Stegostoma tigrinum: one gene and its partners. The protein of the gene in region 2 interacts with the protein of the main gene of each other region in a biochemical or structural test. Links are inferred from orthologs where the notes say so. Each region holds a gene or a part of one and is shown on either strand. Other genes may lie near its edges. The genes, in order: rap guanine nucleotide exchange factor 5, rap1aa and rapgef2b.

Region 1 (7,477 bases), on a different chromosome or scaffold from region 2:
CTTTCGCCATCTACAGTCCGACCCCACCACCCAAGACATTTTTCCATCCCCCCCCTTGTCTACCTTCTGGAGAGACCATTCTCTCTGGGACTCCCTTGTCCACTCCACACTCCCCTCCAACCCCACCACACCCGGAACCTTCCCCTGCAACTGCAGGAAGTGCTACACTTGCCACCACACCTCCTCCCTCACCCCCATCCCAGGCCCCAAGATGAATTTCCATATCAAGCAGATGTTCACCTGCACATCTGCCAATGATCCTTGACCTGTCTGTCCTCCCCGGACTGAACTATCCCCTCCCCACCTCTACTCTCCTCTCTACCTATCTTCTCCTCTATCCATCTTTGGTCCGCCTCCCCCTCTCTCCCTATTTATTCCAGAACCCTCTCCCCATCCCCCTCTCTGATGAAGGGTCTAGGCCCAAAACGTCAGCTTTTGTGCTCCTAAGATGCTGCTTGGCCTGCTGTGTTCATCCAGCCTCACACTGTGTTATCTCGGATTCTCCAGCATCTGCAGTTCCCATTATCTCTGATTAAAACCTAACACATCCTGTCTTATCCCAGCGGAGTATCCCAAGGGATGCTGCACTGCACATTTCTGTGAAAGCCAGGTTCTGAAGATCCCAGAAGAAAGGAGCGCCAGCAGTAACCCAACCAGCATTTCCGAAGCAGCAGCAATACTTTGACCCTGTTTGTTCGTCTGTCCATAGGACATCTCAAAACCTGCTGGACAGATCTCAACTAAAGTTGGCACACTTATGATATTGTCCCCAATGATAGCCTGGTTAGTTTTCTAGATCCAAATGTAGATCCTGGAATATTTTTAAAGAACCCATTAACAGTAAGAGATAAGGTAAATTGACATTTTAAAAATTAATATAATGGGCTGCTTTAAGCCTTTCATCATTGAAGGTCGGCAGAGGTAAAGTTTTCAACCAGTTTGTTAATCTATAAAACAAACTCTCTCAAAAACTAATAAATGGTTTATAACAAAACTTGATACATGGATAGAGTATGGTTCAAGGGAGAAAATATTAGTTTTTATTTCACCAGCACATGGATTCTGGAATTATTTAAAAGATATCAAGAGAATGGGTGGTTTGATTTTCTTTTACAACACATGGATTATCTCAACAGTTGTGGTGGAATTTGTCAGAGCTGACAAACTGAGAGCTTTTTCAGAACAGAATGTTGGATTTGGTTTGGTCTGAAGTTTCCTAACTGTGATGCAAGTTCATGATAAAAGTTTTTTTTTGACAGCTTTGTCATTACAGAATATCAGCAAAGCAGGGAAAAGCTCAGGAAGACCTATATATTTGTAATAATTGAGTTAACACAACATAATGGAAATATGCACTTAGTAGTTAACTAAACCAAAGCAAAATGATAACACGAAAACTTCATTGTATTATTACTCGTTTGAAATTCTAACATTTTTGACAATTATGAAGGTATTTTTAAAATGAATACAGTTTTGTAATTTTTTGTGTTCACAGTCAAAAATTTCAGTGACATGGAATAGAAAGGCTTTCTATTGCTGACATGCAGCATTAAGCACTTCTCTCTCCCTAATGAGGTGCAACACAGGGTGATACTTTATTCTGCCTTAACAATGTGTTATAGTCTTAAGTTTTACATTCCTCACACCAAACAGTTTCCACAAGTGAGGTAGTCAATTAGTACAGCAAGAAACTTTGCCATCTAATCAGTGTGCGTTGGACTCAAACCAATGTCCCCAAGGTTGAAGGAGCCTGTGCAATTACATTTTGCCACTCAGTTCTTCACCACAGAGGTTTAATATAAAAATGTGACAAGAATTGTAATTAGTCGGTATTATCCTTTGACCAGCCACATATTACTAAAAACATACTTATTTCTGAGCTGTTTGTGGTGTCATATTGTTATTGCCATCTGCTAAAGGAATGGTAACATGCAAGTACAGTATTTGAGCAAAATATTAGTTTTTTGTAGTTTTTTTTAAAGTTGTGCATGCTAATATAGAGAAGGCCATTACAATTTTGCAGTAAATTGAAAACCAAGAATATTTTCCACTCAGGGGACCTCTGCTATTATTTTTAGATACCAAAAAATGTGTAATATGCCATAACAATAGTTCAGACAATGCATGTTTGAGTGACCTTCAATTTTCTCAGCAAAATGCTTTCAATTTCAAATTTCCCTCTCTCCCAGATAATATTTTGCAAAAGTATTTCGTTTACATTACTGAGCTACCAGTTCTATTGAGCAGTATGCAAAACTACAAAGTGACATTTTGTTTTAAGCAATTAATTGATGTTTACGATGTTTATCACGAAGTGTGAAGTGTTAATATGTCTTACGGTTCAAACTAATAGAATAATCAAACTCTCCTGACAGATTCAAACAATAGAAATTAGATTATAAAGTTTGAGTTTTCCTCAAAACATTTCAGTACATGACTGCAGATTAAAAGTGTCTTTTTAAAAAAAACTCTTTATTCGCCTGAGCCTGTATTTAATATATGTTCCACCCTCAATAGCAAACAATCTATTCGCAAAGATATGTAACCTGTCAGCAAATTACAATTACCTGCTTCATATTATATTGTTCGATAAAATGTTTCCTCTTGAACCTTGCAAAAGAATACCTAGTAAAATAGTGATCACATCCTCTCATAAATGTAATATAATTTTGCCCTGTATTATTTGATTACAGTATAAATTGCAGAATTGTACAATTACCACATCAGCCTGCTTCTTCTTGAGGTTCAATCCATTTTTCAGAAGTGCAGGTAGGTCTTTTATCTTCTGTTTTAATTGTCCTTGCCCCTTTACGTTTCTGCTCCATTTAATAGCAGCTAAAAGTCCTACTTCTGGGACACAGAAACTGCCAGGAATATCAGTCCGTTGAGCCATTCTCTCACAAGCTGGCACAGATACTCATTTTTCCTGTACTGCAATGTAGTTCAGTTTGCAGCTGAGTCCACTGTGTTCTGTTTGATAAGCTGCAGTTTTACATACTCCACCCAGCCATTTGCCTTCTGCTGTGCATATAATCTGCATCTGCATTGTATATCGCATACTGAATGAGGTCACCTACAGGTGCAGGATATCCCATTATGCAATGTTTCCTCTTCCATTGTAAACCTCCAGTGCTCTGAGAAAGCTGGTTTCCATCTCAATTTTTGTTTCATACAAATCTGAACATTCACAATTAATAATTAAATTGTCACAACTGACGCTTTGCAGTTCAAAATAATGTCACTACTTTGGACAATGCAGTGCTAACCATCAAAAAAATCAACTGTAAATATTAAAATTTAGGTTACATTTGTGTTAGCAGACACTAGATGAACAAATGAATTTCTAAACTGTAATACTGTAGATGTGCTTTGATCCTTATCAGAGTTCTATAATGTCCAGCGACACAGTATCTCAGATTTGTCATGCTTATTAGCTTATTACTCTAAAGCAAATAATTAAACAATAAAAGTATTTAACAATAATTAATGAATATTCAAATGCTGCATTTGCCAATTACACAATGTACATTTCTTTCTTCTGTTAAACAAATAATGAATCCTTTGCTTTACTTTGAGATTTTAAAACGTCTGTTTCAACGACAATGTTCATTTATATAATAATTTCAATAGCTAGTTAGTATTACTCTTTGTTCATTAAAGTAATTGCTGTTTGTTCCTTACTTGTGCCGGACTTCCAAGAGACTGTTCTATTAATTAACGGCAAGCGACATATAAAAATACATCTTGCCACTTTGCATCTTGTACTATTTAAAGAATGAAGACAATGCAACAGGTAGTGTGTACCACGGCATTACTCTGTTGTATTGTCAAATACTGTTAGGATAACACAATGTCTAAAATATATGCCAAGGTGCCATACATGGTAGGATTCACCATGTCCAAGCAACTTTAATATAGTGGTGGTGATTCATCTAGTGTAAAGCCAGTTTAAGAAAAAAATGTTTCCAGGTTTTTGGTGGCCTTTACAGAAATGTTTCAAAATTAAGTTTTAAACTAATCTTCGATATCAGCAAAGAAACCAACAATTCTGCCAGCTTTTCATTAACGTTGAAAAGCAATGAACAAAGCTCTGTGTGCTAACACAAGAACACAAGGCTCCAAATTTTCTGGCCAGATGGGAAGCAGAACTAGCAATAAATCTCATGTTGGCTGGATATACATCATTTCCAACAGGTATAATTATCAAAAATGAGACTGTCATATCACAGCAACATTAGGGATGATCGCTTAGCAATTTCAGCTTTATTACTGGTGCTAACAAAGATATTGGACCCATTACTGTAGGCCAAGGCTTCTCAACCATCTCTTTGAGATGTCCCTCAATGTGATACCAAAAAAGACCTCTTGTAAGATTGCCCACCCCTAAATGAAAATTAGTTAAACAGGTTTTGAAAATTACACAATAGAGCATATTATTCCATGAAAGATAATCCATCACTTTCGCACAGTTTGAGTCAAAATAATATCATCCATTTAGCAGTTCAACAGAGGAAAGATTCCCTCATTAATCCATACAGCAATATCATGAACCCATTTACAAAGAACCAATGTTCAACAGAAGGCTGTAAAATACCAAAGTGGAGAATAAGATGCTATTTCTCCAGTTTGCATTGGGCTTCACCAGAACATACAACCAAAAGAGAAATGTGAGCACCAAGAACAAGATGGTGCATTAAAATGAAGAGTGGCTGGAAGGCCAAGGTCATGTGTCTGGACTGAACAGAAGTGCTTCACAAACTGATCACTTGTGGTTGGTCTCCATAGTGTAGAAGAGGCTGCACTGTGAGAATGAATGCAGAAAACTAGATTGAAAATGATAGATGTAAAACAGCTGCTTCTCCTGGAAGGATGGTCAGAGCCTTTAACAGTGACGTGGTAGATGGGTAAATGTTTCCCATCCCTGCAACTACATGGGAATGGTCCATGGGTGAGGTTACAGTGGAGCAGGAGGGAACAGGCTCTTTGGATGGCCCACAGGAGGAAAAAGCATGTTTGATGATGGCAACTTGCTGCAGATAACAGAAATGAGGACAAGCTGAATCCTTCAGTGATTCTGGGAGGAAGAGGAGATGCCCAAAGTGGAGGAATTGTGTGAGACTCACATTGAAAGTTCTGCCCAAAAATGTGGAGGGAGTCCATATTTGAGGAAAAAGACTTTTCAGAAGCATTATGTGGATATGTTATGAAGTTTGGCAAGATTTTTAAAGGTAATTTATGTACTGAAAACATAGCTAGTGAGCAACTGATGAAAATCCAGTATTAGTGATAAGAAAACATTGCAATTCTTGTCAAAATGCCATCTGGTTCACCAATCTTCTTTCGGGAAGAAATATGATGTTTTTACCTAGTCTTACTTACATGGGACTCCTGATCTATAGCAATCTGGTTGGCTCTTAATTGTCCTTTGAGTGGCTTCTGGGCCACTTGTAATAAACTGCTGCAAATTCAAAGTGAAATGAAACAAGAGCTCCTAAGATGCTGCTTGGCCTGCTGTGTTCATCCAGCTCCACACTTTGTTATCTCGGATTCTCCAGCTTCTGCAGTTCCCGTTATCTCCAAGAGGTAGCACCCTGAAGGCTTTTATTCCAACTTCAGATATCAATGATAAAGGCAGTTCTAACAACAGGATATATCTAATGTTCTTTATTAAAGCAAAGTCCACAAAAAAGCACTGCAAAAATCTTAACCATGTAATGCTTATAATTGCAAGTGATCTGGATTACATGGACTTGTCCAAGACTTGTATCAGATGGTCTGCCCAATCCAGTTCAACCTCTAGTCACTGATCAGATGGTCTTGTTCTCAGCTAGCTATCACCAGCACAAGATTTCTTATTCTCTTTCTCCATAGTGTGTTGAAACTCTCTACGCAGGCTCCAGCAATTTGATCAGTTCAACTATTAGCAAACGTTACTGATGTGCCATGCTTTCCATGACAGGTTTGATCAATTACACATTAGGACTTGTTTGTTTTGCTTGAAAAGAGGGTTATTCCTTGATTTTAATCAAATTTTGATCTCAGACTTAACTTGCTCAGCCTATTGTCACATATATGTCTTGCAAACAACCAAATGCTATTTACACAGGGCAATTTTCTGATCAAGCACTCTGTTTAGCTGATAGATCTGATATCCTGGACTATTTTAAAACAAGATTCCAGCCTTTCAAACATTAAGTCCATTACAGTTGAGTCACAGCATTTAATCAAAATACACACTCTTTCAAACATAGAAACACAATAAAACTAATGACATTTCTACCCATTCAGTCATTGTCCAGCATTAACTTTTCAGTACAGCTGATTTCATATGGTTTTTCTTTCATTTCATTTCGGTTAAACTAGCAAATGTTAGGGTAGTATCTCCAATCCATTATCCCCCTAGGAAACAACAATGGCAAATCCCTGGAAAATCCTCCTTACTAATTTTTTTGGATTTGTGCCAAAATTGGAACAGTTGTCCCACAGACTGATCAAGCAACAAATAAAAGCAAGCTAGTGTGGGTGCTGGATATCTGAAAATAACAAAGTGCTGGAGAAACTCAGCAGATCTGACAGCATCTGTGGAGAGGGTAACAGAATAAATGTTTTCAGTCTGATATGAGTCTTCAGAACAAGGAAACAATAGCCTGATGCGGTTGAACTCTCAGAATCACACCTTTCAGATAATTCTGTGACACTACCATACTGCCTATCAATATCATCATAAATGCCCTGTCCCACAAGCTGGTCAGAGCTACCACAGATGGTGTCAGTGGTGAACAATCAGGAAGATGTTGTCCTGGGAGTCTTTGACATTGACTTTGGATCTTGCAGACTCTTATGGCATCAGGTCAAACATAGGCAAGAACATTTCTTTCTGATTACAAATTACAAACTCACCAACAGCAATCATGCCCCACCCCAACCTGGATGATGAATCCACAAAAAACACCATTTGGAAGAAACAGAAAGCATCAAGGACACAAAGTACTCTTGGCCTGGGTCTGGGACCTCAATATCCATCACTAAGAGTGGCTCAGCAGGAACACCACTAAGATAACAAAGTGTGGAGCTGGATGAACACAGCAGGCCAAGCAGCATCTCAGGAGCACAAAAGCTGACGTTTCGGGCCTAGACCCTTCATGAGAGAAGAGCCTAGGCCCGAAACATCAGCTTTTGTGCTCCTGAGATGCTGCTTGGCCTGCTGTGTTCACCCAGCTCCGCACTTTGTTATCTTGGATTCTCCAGCATCTGCAGTTCCCATTATCACTCACACCACTAAGACAACTGGATGAGCCTTGAAGAACATAGCTGCTGGACTATGTCTGCAATTTTTGGACAGGAAATCAACAAAAATAATTCTAAGTGATATGTGATACCTACCACAGATTCATTACAATATTTGAGAGTGACCATTGTATAGCTCTGTGGAAACGACGTCCCATTTTCAAGTCGAGGATACCCTGTAACTTGTTGT
Region 2 (6,968 bases):
GAAAGACAAAACCCTCTGTGTTAAACATCTCTCAGATTAGGACTACTTCCAACAATTGTCAGTTCTGTTTAATACCAGTATCCACCAACCAGCATGTTCCATGCTCAATTTGCCAATACTGTAAATATCATGTATAATGTAATTCAAGCAAAAGCAATGAAATTCTGGCAAGAAATTGATTTAAAAAACATACAGATTACAGTCTAACCACACATTCCCACAGGGCAGTCAAAGGCTTTCCTATTTCTTTTGAGAATTTTTTCACATGACGTAGATCTTTTCTTGTGCTACTCTTCTAGTGTGGCGACAGCACTCTTCAATTACATAAAAGCGACTGGTTCATAGAGTGACTATTTACATATTCAATTATTTGGGGGGTGGGGGGGGGGGAAGGAGGAGGAGGAGGAGGAGGAGGGTACCAGAAGCCATCACTCCTTGCAGTTGCTACTTATCAGTGCTAGACTGCCTTCTACAAGACCAACCCAGTTTTCTACACATTAAGAAGCTGAAAGCAAATCAACTCCAAACCACGTTTGATCTTTTTATATTAGTCAGTGCAGTGTTGCCAACATTATAAAAAAATTACCAGGTGACTTTCAAAAGTTAAAGAGCTGGTGCTGATTAACCTCCACTAAAGACAAATTTTGAACTCCAACAGATTTGAAACCAACATTCCGCTCAGACTCTTAAGACAAGCTCAATCTCGTTACAAGTTTAGCATAAAGCAGAAATTGTTAGTTATTTGACCTCAACACTAAAGCAAGAACATCAAGAGTCCTGCACGCTATTGCAAGGTAAAATTGATTATGACAAAACAATGTAAGTGAATGTTTGATTGTGCTGTTAAATACAGCAATATCAGTACTTCAGCCTAAAGGGGAATACTTCAATGTTACTTGAACACAAAGACAAAATTTTTATGTTGTCAGATAATGTCCAAGCACAAGTCCAAATGAAAAGTTTTACATCATAACACTTACTGAAATCCTACAATACTGCACAACACAACCAAATATAAAAGAGTTAGAACATGTTTTCTCTCCCCTTTGAATATTCAAAAATTCCACTGTTCACCTCAAGAATGAAGCTATGTCCTCCAAAGGACTACAGAGACGCTCTATCAAAAAACATTACAGAATAAGGAAGGAGACGCCCCATTGCCTCAGTCATTCCCCAATCAAACAACTATCACAGGTAAGAGAAAGTGTTCGTGACAAGCCACACCTTTAAAGGATCTAATGCTGCAATCTGTCATGCTAAGTCTTTATATTATAAACACGATGGGGAATATCAGTCAGAAAGTCAGCTTATAGAACTCTTGCACCAAATGCAGTGGTTATCAGAAATCAAAAGGAGGGTTTGGAAAAAACACAAGCCAAGCAGATGCTTGCAAGTCACAAATTCATTTCTGAAGGATTCAGTATTTTACTAACCTTGTAGGTTCCATCTACTTCAGGTTTTCATACCTTATATTTGTCTATGTCCTATCGCCAAGAAATATAAGTTGAAACCTCCCATCACATTCACTGGGCAGTAAACAAAATTTGATTATACAGACTTCAAAATTTACTGAGGACACAACTCCCTTTACATAAATAATGAGAAAGGTAGTTAAGATCTATACATCTCTGGATGCATTTCTGCAGTAATGGTAGTGGTTTGCATTCAAGTGGTCCATCAGATTAACTAAATCCGATCAAGAAATTAAAACCAGTGCTTTAGATGCTTCAAAAGAATGTGTAAAAGCATAAAACATTAAAAAAACAAATACTGACAAAAAACAATGTGAAAAGCAACAGAACTGAACCTTGAGAATACAGATGGATGCAAAAGATTTATAGTAATTAGTTCCAATAAACAGGATCTCCCAAAAATTAATCTGAAGGAGGGTCTAGGCCCAAAACATCAGCTTTTGTGCTCCTGAGACGCTGCTTAGCCTGCTGGGTTTGTACAGCTTCACATTTTGTTATCTCCCAAACATTAACTCAAGTTCCACTGTGTCACTGAGATGCACTTCCACAATTTGCTGTCAATCATCAACTTCATTCAGCCAGTCACACCTAAAATAGATTTGCATGCTGTGGCAATTTACACAAGGTTGCTTTGAAACCCATGCAGGCTGGATTCTCAGTGACTAGTGTGCAAGAATCATTTACGCTACTCAGTGCTGGAAGTGTGGATCTACAATGGAGAAGAAAACTGGATTGTCAAGTCTGCTGCCCAGTTGAGAGTTGGATTTCTCATAAATAGCAAGGTGGGGGGGAGGGGGGTTGACTTTTCAGCTGAACGCAACCAAACATATAAGTGTGAAATCAGCTGGAATCAAACACCCACCACTGGGCTCAATGTTACCCCATCCTGACAGTATACAGCTTTGGTTTTTTTTAAAAAACATTTCACGCAGGCACAAGGGAAAAAGTGACACCGGTTTACCATTTGATTACTCAGTCTCTATATGGAAATTGAACAGGTTTTCGCAGGGATCTGTAACGCTGTTGGTGCTGCCGCCTGACACAGCCGCAGCAGGGATGGGCCCTCAGCTCCAGCCGAGGTATACTCACCCCGGGGGATGAGGGGCCTAGTTGGCAGGCCCAGGGCGGGGGAAAAGAGGAAGCCCTAACTGCACGCACCCACTACCGAGTGGCGAAGGGTACTTGGAGGCTCCGCATTGCTTCCCGCCCTGAACCGCAAGGGCCGGCGGCTAGGGACGGGCCCAGGAGCGGCGTCGGCCTCTCCTGGAAACGGCCGCTCCCCATTGCCTCAGTCATCTCCGCCCCCCATAAAATAAACACAAACTCCCTTCACTCAAAACCTCCCAGTGGGCCCCACACCCTCACTACCCCCTCAGTTACCCCCCCCCCCATCCCTCCTCCCTCAATCCTCTACCCGCCATCCCCACCCCACACGACGGTCTTCTCCCTCACCGCTGCCGGTTCGGTTCCGTCCCGCTCCCTTCCGCCGCTGTCGCTCCGCCTGAAACCGCTCGAGCTCCTACCCACCTCAGCGCGCGCAGACGCACACACAACACAACAACGTCACCGGCAGCCTCGCTCTGAGCGCCTTAAAAGGGAAACACCTTTTAAAGCGGCAACGACCCGCTCTTCTCCCCCCCGCCCCCAGGCTACCCCTACTGTGGACCCACCGCCGGCGCACGCCGCGCAAGTAATGCTGAGAAGAGCAGAAGGTACCAGGGATCCCAAAGAAGCTGCGATGTGACCGCCCCCGCCAGATGTTGAGGCACCCCGAAGTGCCACGGCACCACCCAAAATACTGAAATCGCTCCGACAGATGGCCCCCAAAACACTGAGACACCTCTCTCTTATAGACCACCAGACACTCACAAACAGAGGACCGTTCAGCCCCTCGTGTCTGCACTCGTCAAAAAACATCCGACTACACTGAGATAACAAGGTGTAGAGCTGGATGAACACAGCAGGCCAAGCAGCATCATAGGAGCAGAAGGCTGGGCCTAGACCTTTCATCAGAAATTCTGGCCTGATGTGTTCATCCAGCTCTTACACCATGTTATCTCGGATTCTCCAGCATCTGCAGTTCCTATTGTCTCCGACTGTACTAATACCATTTTCCTGGAGGAGATGAGTCATAGAGTCATGAGTTGTGCAGCACTGAAACAGATCCTTTGGTCCAATTTGTCTATGCTGACCAGTTTTTCTAAATTAATCTAGGCCCATTTGCCAGCATTTGGTCTCTATCCCTCTAAACCCTTCTAATTCATATACCTGCCAGATGTCCTTTAAATGCTGTAACTGTAAAAACCTCCACAACTTCTGCTGGCAGCTCATTTCATACAAAGGACAAGGGAGCCAAAATCCACCCTCTGAGTGAAAAAGGTTGTCCTTTAGGTCCAGTTTAGATCCTTCCCCTCTCACCTTAAACTGTTTACCACCTTCATAACTTTCATTTTAAAACTTCTTGATCATTAATCCAAATTGTTAATATACAAACAGCAAATGCCCCAGCATCAAATCCTGTGGAAGCCCACTGGAAGTCACAGTCAGAGAAACATCCCTCTACCATTGCCCTCTGCTTCCTAATTTGTGGCTGATTTTCAGCCCAATGTGTCACTTTGGCTTGGATCCCATGGGGTCTTACTTTCTTGATATGTTTCCCATGAGGGACTTTTTCAAAAGTCTTGTAAAAGTCCAAGTAGACCATATCAAATACATTACCCTCATCGACCCTCATGGTTATCACCTCAAAAAATTCAATTAAACTCGTCAAACATAACGTTCCCTTAACGGATCCATGTTGACTATCCCTGATTAATCCATGTCTGTCTAAGTGCGGATTTGTTCTGTCCCTCACAATTCTTTCTAATAACTTCCCCACCACTGAGGTGAGACTGACTGTCCTGTAGTTTCCTAATCTGTCCTTTCCTCCCTTTTCTGTAACGGGACAATGTTCGTAGTGCTCCAGTCCTCTGGCACCTCACCTATGGCCAGCAAGGATTTGAAAATTACTCTCAGGGCTCCCGATATCTGAGATAATGGGAGCTGCAGATGCTGGAGAATCCGAGATAACAAAGTGTGGAGCTGGATGAACACAGCAGGCCAAGCAGCATCTCAGGAGCACAAAAGCTGATGTTTTGGGCCTAGACCCTTCATCAGTGAGCTGATATCTGCTCCCTTTGAACCCTTAACAGCCTGGGATATGTTTCAAACAGGTTTGTGAATGTATCTATTCGTAAAGCTACTAAAGCCACCAGTACTTCCTTTCTCTAAATGTTAATTTCTTCTAATATTTCATAATCGTCCACTTTGATGTCTATACCTGCATCATTCTTTTCCACTGTAAAGACTGATGCAAAACATTTACTGAGAACTGGGCCCATATCTCCCAGATCCACACACACATTTCCTCTATGATTCCTAATGGACCATATCTTTACCTATTTACTTTCCATAATACAATAAAAAACAGGAACAGGAATAGGCCATTCAGCCCCTCAGGCCTCCTCCACAATTTAAACAGCTCTTGATTAGTCCAACATTCCACAGGTGCACTTCCTTGTGTTTTCCCAATTACCCAAGATTCTCCTATTTTTGCTCTTTATATATATATTTTTTTTAATCATTTGGGTTTTCCTTTATTCTATTTTCTCATTAACTCTGCTTGCTGTCCTCATTTAAGATGAAGATTACCCCGTGCACTTTTTGTATCGTCTAGGTACTCTGCTGTACTGAGCCTTGGGTATCTGACATAAACTTCTCCTTTCTTCTCAATCCTAAACTTTATGACTCCTCACATCCACAGCTCTGCTGTTTTACTCCTACACTTTCTCTTTACAGAAACATATTTTCCCCGTACTCCTGCTCCCCCCTTGAATATCTTCCACTGCTTTGATAGATTTATCTGCAAGTAGGTGTTCTGAGACTACTTGGGCCAAGTTATGTCTTATCTTAGTAAACTTAGCCTTAACCAGGTTATAGGTTTCCTTCTTAGCCCATCCTTATCCTTTTCCATTACCATCCTACATGTAACTAAGTTATGGTCACTATTTCTGAAAGATCCCCCTAACTGATACACCTTCCACCTGCGCCCACGATATCAAGGCCTTTCCTTATTGGGTTCCATTGCACCAGTTTAAAAAAAGTGCCCCTTGATACAATTTAAGAATTTTGTTCCCTCTCTGCCTTGAACACTAAAACTATCCCACTTAATAATTGTGAGGCTGGATGAACACAGCAGGCCCAGCAGCATCTCAGGAGCACAAAAGCTTTTGTGCTCCTGAGATGCTGCTGGGCCTGCTGTGTTCATCCAGCCTCACATTTTATTATCTTGGATTCTCCAGCATCTGCAGTTCCCATTACCACTTAATAATTGGTTCATTAAAATCCTTTATGAAACTAATAAATCCCCTCCCACTATTGCCTTTCCCCACTCCACCCTCCCCTACCCCACCCACGCCTTGGCTCTGACAGGCCTCAACAGAGGAACCGTCATTCTCACTAATTTGCAGGACTGAACAGCATTTTGCAAATAGAATGTACTTGGATGATTCCCTCACAACCTACCTGGAGCTTCTGACTGGAGTTCCCCATTCCCATTCTCTACGTATCTTTAATCTGTGGGTTGGCGATGTTTGTGCTGTCCACCAACCTCTCAGCCCTTCATCAATACACCGTTGTGCCCCAGCAGCTGCACAAGCTCCAAACTTCAGAGTTTGAGTTGCTCCTGCTGGAGGGACCTCTGCACAAGGTCATCCTGATCTCCAAGAGGAGGTAGGATTTTGCACAGATTGCGAGATGTGTAAATCATGGGCCTGAGCTTCCCAGACTCACCTTAACCAAGTAGAATATGGTTACTTGCTTTTATTTAGTCTTAGTCCTAGCAGAATCTTCATCTTGCTTATGCCTTGAGCCCCATCCATTGCCATTCTGTCTGAGACACTGATACATCCCTGCAATAAAACACTGAGACACCCCAGAACACTGATAATCCCCATATCACTGGTAAACCTCAAACAATGATATATCTTCCCACTGAATGAACCTTCCCACTGGTATGCCCCAAACCATAAAACACTGGGCCAACTCAACGCTAATACATTTCCAATGCTGATATACCGTCAGCAATGATACATCTCTCAATTCTCTTACACTACTGCAACTGAAAGACCCTGTAACGCTGAAATCATCCTAATTCTGAAACATGCAAATTAGTCAATAAAAGGCAATAATACACACACACACACACACACACACACACACACACACACACACACACACACACACACACACACACACAGTCATTCACCCAGTGATGCTGATGTACATCCGATGGATGCCCACATTATGTTACACACTGAAGACAACAGAACCCTTTATAAAATATCTTGCACTGCCCTCAACCTGCTGCATGTTGCTGGATCGCTCAGGCTTGGCCACCAAAAAGCACACACTGAATTGGATTGACTGCATCTACCGGCTGATATCAGGGATGAGAGC
Region 3 (7,357 bases), on a different chromosome or scaffold from region 2:
ACAAGAGTGTGATGAAATTCTCTCTATTTGCCTGAATGAATGGAGCTCCAACAACACTTGAAACTCAACAAATTGTCATTTGATCAGACCCTATCTTAAACATTCACTCTAGGCATCAACAATGGACTGTCGCAACAATGTTACAATATAAGAGATGTATTGTGACAACTTACTAAGGCTTCTTCTCACTCTCAAAGCTAATGACATCACCTAGAAGGACAAGGGCAGCAAATAGGTTAGATGCATGTGAGCACTCCAACTTGCAAGTCTCTCCCCTCCAAGCCACATATGATGTTGACTGCAAACTGTATTTGCTCTTTCACTGTTGTTGCATGAACATTCTGGAACTCCCTTTCATTTTCAATGAATTACAGAAGTTCAAGTACACAGCTCACTGCTACCTTCTCAAGGGTAATTAGGGATAAGCAACAAACGCTGGCCTTGCCAGCACTCCCAGATCCACAAAAGGATAAAAATACTCACCGTATCTAGTCAACCATGTATAAATATTTATATAGTCATAGTCAAAGCCCACAGCACGGAAACAGACCCTTCGGTCCAAGTCATCTATGCTAACTACAGATCCAAATCGGGCCTTGTCCCATTTGCCAGCATTTGGCCCATAGCCCTCTAAACTTTATATTCAAGCCATCCATGTGCCCTTGAATGTTGTAATCACACCTGCCTCCACTGCTCCTTCTGGCAGTTCGTTCCACATATACCCCAGTATCTGATTGAAAACATTACCCCTTTTTAAATCTTGCCCTTCTCACCTCAAACGTATGCCCTCTAGTTTTGAACTCCCCCGCCCAGGAAAAAGACCTTGGTTATCTACCCTATCCATGCCCCTCATGATTTTATATAACTGTGTAAGATTACCTCCAATGCTCCAGGGAAAAGAAAACCCCAGCCTATTTAGCCTCCTTCTACAACTCAAACTTTCTTGTAAATCTTTCCTGTACCCTTTCAAGTTTAACATCCTTCCTATTGAAGGGCAACCAGAATTGTACAGTATTCTAAAATTGGCCTTACCAATTGTGTTGAGTGCTTCCCCTATCCTAATAGCCATCTCTCTCAAAAAATAACCTTTGATAAGCAGATCCAATGCAGGATCAGCTTGCCAGTTCAGATTTTTCACAAATTACAGTAATGAGTGTTTGCCAAGAATGACCTCTGGAAGTCAACTTGCATTCTCATGTATGGAGCAGTTGTTATCATCACACTCCTTTGCTGCAATGAGACCTTGAATGTGTATCGACAACTCATAATAGCACATAATAAATTCCATTACCAAAGCCTCTACTACTTCCCTTGGATTCAATAGGACTATTGTGCAACAAATGCCGCTGTTGATCTTACAGTGTACTCAAATTGTCAGGCAAACCTCTTGTAAAATCAACTTTGATGAACTGGATGCTGTGTCCAGATGGCAAAGTTGGCTCGCAAAAAGGAGCCTGAGCTACATGTTGCCTGCCATTTTAACACACCACCCTGCTCCCTGGCCAACATCTCTGACTCTGGCTTGTTGCAGTGTTCCAACAAAGCTCAATGCAAGCTGGAAGAACAAGACCTTATTTACCCCTTGGGGACGCTGTAGCCCTCCGGATTCAATATGGAGTTCAATAATTTTATGGCCTAAACTCTTCCATGTCCTAGCCCCCTACCCCAAACACCAGGTCTTGTTATCACGTGGCCTGCCATTACATGCTATTTACTGTTAGTCACTAACGGTCTCTATTAACAACAATTCGCCCTTCCAGCCACATGGTATCACCTCCTTTGTCTATCCAACTGCTGTTCTCTCTCTTCAGGCTCTATCCTACCATTTACTCCCTACCCCATCCCCTCCCTATTTTCTGCGTATAAATTGATGTTTTCCCAGCTACCATCAGTTATGGGGAAGGGTCACCGAACCCAAAATGTTAACTCAGATTTTATATTCATAGCTGCTGCCAAAACTGCTGAGCTTTTCCATCAACTTCTGTTTAAGCCCCTGATCGTCCTTTCTTTGCACAATCTATAGAAACAGTAAGATTTGTGTAATAATGATGCTGAAAAGACAAAGCTATTAATTATCTGTCCTAAATTAGTAATTAATTTTGTACTCTTAAACATACACAACACTCATTAAAAAGTGCATCAAGTTCCATTCTTAAAAATCAATTTATCTAATCCTCATTAAATATAGAAATAGTACCAGAGTATCATTGGGTGGAAGTTACTGAAAAGCATCTATAGGGTCAAAATGGACTTCAATTTGGAAAGGTATTGGTTTAATCTTCTGAAGAAGGGCCTCTAGCCTCGATGCTAACTCTCTTTTCTATCCACAAATGCTGCCAGACCTGCCATCTTTTTGTAGAAATTTCTGTTTTTATTTGTTTCAGATCTTCAGCACCTGCAGTTATTGAGTCATAGAGATGAAGAATTTGCACATACATAGATAAAAAGTAAGTATAGTGGGACAAAGCATCACTTCTCTTTTAAAGAGAAAATATGAACACAATATTTTGAATGGCCTCCTATTTTGAAAGTTTCCATTGCTTTCTAAGTAACAAAAGTGGAATAACAATATTAAGAGCTTTAAGTAACTTAATATGACTAAGGAAAAAAGTGATATCTTTAACATCTTGTTAAAATATATAAATCTCATGAATAATTTTGAAAATGAAATAAAGAAATAAACTTATAATGAAGACTTTTTTTAAGTTTCAGATGTAACCTTTGGTCAGAACATTAACAAGACTTTCCTCTTTCCATGCTTAACAGCTTTTGTGTTTTTTCCTTTAACTTTTCCATGGATCAATATGCCACACCATAGGATCCTGTGACGTATTCTTTCATCTTTACGGCATGTGTTGGAATTCTTCCTCTTTACCTTTTAGCTATTTTTTGGAGTAGAGGAGGATCTGAATGAAAAGACAGTTGCATGTTTTTAGGTTAGTTCTTTGCAAGCACAGTTTTATCAAGAGTTTTATTTCCTTTCTTCAGTCTCATGTTGCTGATTTACAGCATCCGTAGTTCTTTTTGTTTTTAATCGAGAACAGGAGCTTCACAGTTTTGAGTTTCCATCAAAAAAACAAATTAAAGTAGGAACCGCAGATGCTGGAGAATCCAAGACAACAAAGTGTGGAGCTGTGCTCCTAAGATGCTGCTTGGCCTGCTGTGTTCATCCAGCTCCACACTTTGTTATCTTAAAAGTAGGAAATGATGTATGGTAAAGGATTATACTTTGTAGTCAGCAGCAAATGATTGGCAATGACCATTCTTTACCATTGCTGGTAGACTTCTTATGATAGATAGCAAATGATAGATGAAAAGAGCCAAAAATTTCCCCATTTACTACAGAAGTTTTGTAAACAGGTAGACAACTGTACACCTCTGCAATAAGCAGGCTCTGAATCAGAAACTGGCATTACAACATTGTACTTTATGTTAAATCAGTTTCAGAAAGCAAACTTAATGAAAATTGGATTGAGAAAAAAGGACTAAAGTAAAATATTTTATTTAATTTTTTCTTCATTTTCAATGAAATTTGGCAACTAAATTGTTTACCTATCTCTTTTTCACTATTGGGAGTTCTAAAAAAAAGTCAAGAATGCAACAGCCTCTGTTCCTCATTTAAATACAAACACATTCAGTGACGGAACCATTTACACAATAGAATACAGCGCAGAATCAGGCCGTTTGGCCCACCAAGCCTGCGTCGATTCCAGTCCTTATTTGGACCCGTTACTTAACGCTTTCTATCCCTCTTTTCACTTTCCATTCAAGTGTCTTGTCAAGATACGCCTTAAACGTTACTAACGTGCCTGCTCTCATCGCCGCCACTGACAGTACATTCAAGGCACCCATCACCATCTATGTGAAAAACTTGCCCCTCTCACCTTGAACCTGTGCCCCCTTGTGGTCTGGAGCATGGATTTTCCTTAGAACCGTAACATCATTGTTGATAGTGCCACACTCATTCCTCTTAATTCATTATTTCTGAATTTCACTAACAGTTTGGCTATTTGTATTTTTAAAAATAAGCTTTTTGTAATTTCATTTATATATATAAACTTCGTAAACAAATGGAACATGTTGAAACCCGCTGTTTTCATAACGATAACGCTGAGTTTAACCCTTGGCGAGAAGCATGAACGTGTCTGCCCTCTTCTCGTTCGACTTTTGCACTTTTAATTTTAACGATTCCATGGTTAGATATAGTCACACCACAGCACCTCGTGATACATCCTGTCATCTTTATGGCATGTGCTGTATGTTCTTTCTCGTTGCCCCTTGGCTGCTTTGGGAGGAGACAACAAATTAAGGCACCATTTTTTTCTGGATGATCTGAGTGAGGAGGCGGTAGAGAGTTTTTGGCCGAGCTTTTAGCGAGAGTTTAGTTGTCATTAGTTTTCGTCCCTCCTCCATCTCCTTTCTGTTTCCAGGAGATTTTCACTTTGTGATGAAACAAAGGGTCCAGTGCAGGTCGTTCGTATCTGATTGAAATTAAACAACAACGAAATAATTTGACATCGACATTTAAACAGCGCTTTGATTAGACAACGCATTTAGAAAGCACTTGTTATTTTCTGGATTATTCCCGAAGCTGTCCAGGACAAGACAACGAGGCGAAATTATTTGTGGTTTAATTATAAAAATAATCCGATGGATTATGAAGCATCCCAAGGAGCTGGATAGAATCGGGTATTACTGCGAAGAGTCGTTGCTTTGTACAGAGTGGGAGCGGCGGGTGCCGCGCGGACGGTTGTGGTTGTCAGGGCAGCTCCGAGTTGGCGTTCACATTCCAGAAGCCGACAGAAGCTTCTGATCGCGGTGACGTCTTTGGGGTTGCTCCAGCTACTTGAGGCCGATCTCGGGCCTGCGCTCTGAGTGCAGACATTCCCAGGCGTCTCTCCCCTCCGAGAATTAGGAAAGTAGCGCTGCCGTAAAGGGAGGCTCGAGTCGACTCGAGGCCCTATTATTTTATAGGCCCGCACCGGGTCGAGGTCGGAACCATGGCGTCTTACGTGGATAATAACTTCAGACAAGCGGTCATGAAGAACCCGGCAGAAAGGACGCAACAGGTATGAACAGTGGGCAAATAATCGCAAGTATCGATGCTTTGGTAATGGGAGTACGGCTCGCATCTGATGGGCACCAGCGGCCCATCTTGCCCACCTCTTTGCTGGGTTGTGGTGATTTCTTTCCCCTCTTGGTTGTGTGTACGATGAAAGATATGTGACTCCCCCCCCCCCCCCGAAGTATAGTAGATTATTTTAATTGTTTTCCGGTTTTTTTTCCTTGCGCATCTCGTTGTGATTTGAGATTCACGTCAAGGAAGATTGTTCCGCTAACAAAGCTCTCTTTGCCCCTGTCACTGTCTCTGTACGGCGTTAAGGGAATTTCTGAAGCATTTCCCCGCTTCTCGAAAAATGTTATTTTTTTCATACTTTTTTTTTGTTATCCTGATCGATCCAACATCCACTTCTGAGAAACGCAGACTTAATTTACCATTTGTACCGTTGAGTTTTTATCATTTCCCAAATTTCTAACGGTGGATTGATGGAGTTTGGGATTGGATGTCAGCACCAGCATCACATTTAAAAATATGCACCTATGTTGTTTCTTATCTGCAATATAAACAAATTTATTTAGTGTGATTTATTTATTTTGATCGGCGACTTTGGATGACCTAAGTTTACCCCTTCTTGTCCGTACTATTTTTTTTAAATGCGACAGTGATCGGAGAACATAATCACATTTATTCGTTATTTATGTATAATCGCGTTTAATAACGAATATTCTTTCTTTTTTCAATCAATTCTGATTTTGGTAGCAGTAGGTTTAGCTTGTGCCCAATTATCCTCTCTTTACTTGTAACTATAATTAAGATTTGAAAGTTTTTTTCACTGTTGCTATGTTCTAGTCGTGAGAGAAATGGTCACGGTTTTATGCATCCACAATTGACAACGGGAATAAGTTGTAAACGTTTTTAAAATGATGAATGAGACTTTGGAAACAGAATAATTAAAGCATGTCTAGTCGCTTATGATAGCGTAATTGTATACAATCCAGGATGAGAATAGTGAAGCTTAATGGAATAAATTATATTTTTACCTTTTGATGCTTTTACTGTGGGAGGTTGACAAGAATCAAACTCACGTAGGCATTTGTAGTCTGAGATCTAGGCATGCGCAGTCATTTGACAGGAACGATATTTATTTATAATTCAGATTTCACTGACCTAGTGTCAGACATGTTATGTAGAGAAGTTTTTAATTTTACACGGAGTTATATTTAATGTGTAATGCTTGTGACCTTTGAGACGTTGTAAAAGATTAGGAGCCAATTTTATAATGTCCTTAGAGTGCACGCTTTGTAGGCCATTTAGCAGTGTTTTGGTAATTATATATGTATGTATACATGTATGTGTTTAAAAATTGCACTTAGTGAAGGGATGTCAGACAAATTCACATGTCCAGAAGTTGTTATAAGTACACTTCCTGGGAATATCTTAAAATCCCTTTTTCATCAATAATGCTTTGCAAAAGATCATTTATTCAAAAAATAATGTCAGTGAATATTTGCACCACTCATCATCTGAACTATTAATTCAACATAACAGTAATATTTCATTCAAAGAAATTTCATTTCATTATCATAGTGTTGTGCTCAGGCTACAGGTGACTTGCAACCAGTTTTGAATGGTTGTAGGTTTACTGAGGAACAACATGCAAAAATATTTTAGTAAGGTGACTATGTAGTGTTAATCACTGAAAATCTATTATTACATGACATGTTGGATAAATACAGTAACCTCAGTTTTTAACATTGTCTTCACAAAAAATGTTAAATTCTTATGACTTGCAATGCAGGATTAATTTATGACATAGTATTCTGGCAGACATTATCTGAATTTTCTCTACAGTATCAGTATCATTGTAAATTATTTTTATTTAAATTGAGGGGATCTAAACTACTTGTGTATTTCTTAAAACTTTGTATCTGTCCATACTTTTTGCAAATTTTTGTGATAAGTTCCAATGTTTATAGTGCAAACTGCCTATGTGAACTGCAATAAGATTCTACCCCACCTCCCCCTACACCTTTGAATCTTCCCTCTGAGCTGTGTTATGTGCAATAACCTGAATGTTCCTGTGCAGTGTGCTCACAACCTGGTCTTTTTTAAGTTTTTATTCTGGATGTGCAGCTCTGCAAAAAACTTACTTGAAGATTACACAAAGCAAATTGCCTTCAATGAATGGTAATGATTCAGATTTATTTTTCCTTGTTCCTCAGCCTGTACTGAGAAGAAACTTCAGTGTTCCAATGAACATCATTTCTTGTTGCATGTTTTTTCTTTTCAACTATA

Evidence for each region.
Region 1: of the proteins of rap1aa (region 2) and rap guanine nucleotide exchange factor 5, one has a biochemical effect on the other in vitro, tested with the Homo sapiens proteins (2 studies listed by BioGRID). The link is inferred for Stegostoma tigrinum from reciprocal best matches to the Homo sapiens genes RAP1A and RAPGEF5.
Region 3: the proteins of rap1aa (region 2) and rapgef2b form a complex in vitro, tested with the Homo sapiens proteins (2 studies listed by BioGRID and IntAct, with this or other methods). The link is inferred for Stegostoma tigrinum from reciprocal best matches to the Homo sapiens genes RAP1A and RAPGEF2.

The regions. Positions count from the first base shown.
Region 1 is NC_081355.1:75,651,336-75,658,812, forward strand, and holds the start of rap guanine nucleotide exchange factor 5, read right to left. Parts: upstream 3,004-7,477; 5' UTR 2,894-3,003; coding exon 2,720-2,893; intron 1-2,719. UniProt on the Homo sapiens protein: Guanine nucleotide exchange factor (GEF) for RAP1A, RAP2A and MRAS/M-Ras-GTP. Its association with MRAS inhibits Rap1 activation.
Region 2 is NC_081374.1:5,400,504-5,407,471, reverse strand, and holds the start of rap1aa (RAP1A, member of RAS oncogene family a), read right to left. Parts: upstream 3,036-6,968; 5' UTR 2,925-3,035; intron 1-2,924. UniProt on the Homo sapiens protein: Counteracts the mitogenic function of Ras, at least partly because it can interact with Ras GAPs and RAF in a competitive manner. Together with ITGB1BP1, regulates KRIT1 localization to microtubules and membranes.
Region 3 is NC_081354.1:38,387,838-38,395,194, reverse strand, and holds the start of rapgef2b (rap guanine nucleotide exchange factor 2), read left to right. Parts: upstream 1-4,343; 5' UTR 4,344-5,000; coding exon 5,001-5,069; intron 5,070-7,357. UniProt on the Homo sapiens protein: Functions as a guanine nucleotide exchange factor (GEF), which activates Rap and Ras family of small GTPases by exchanging bound GDP for free GTP in a cAMP-dependent manner.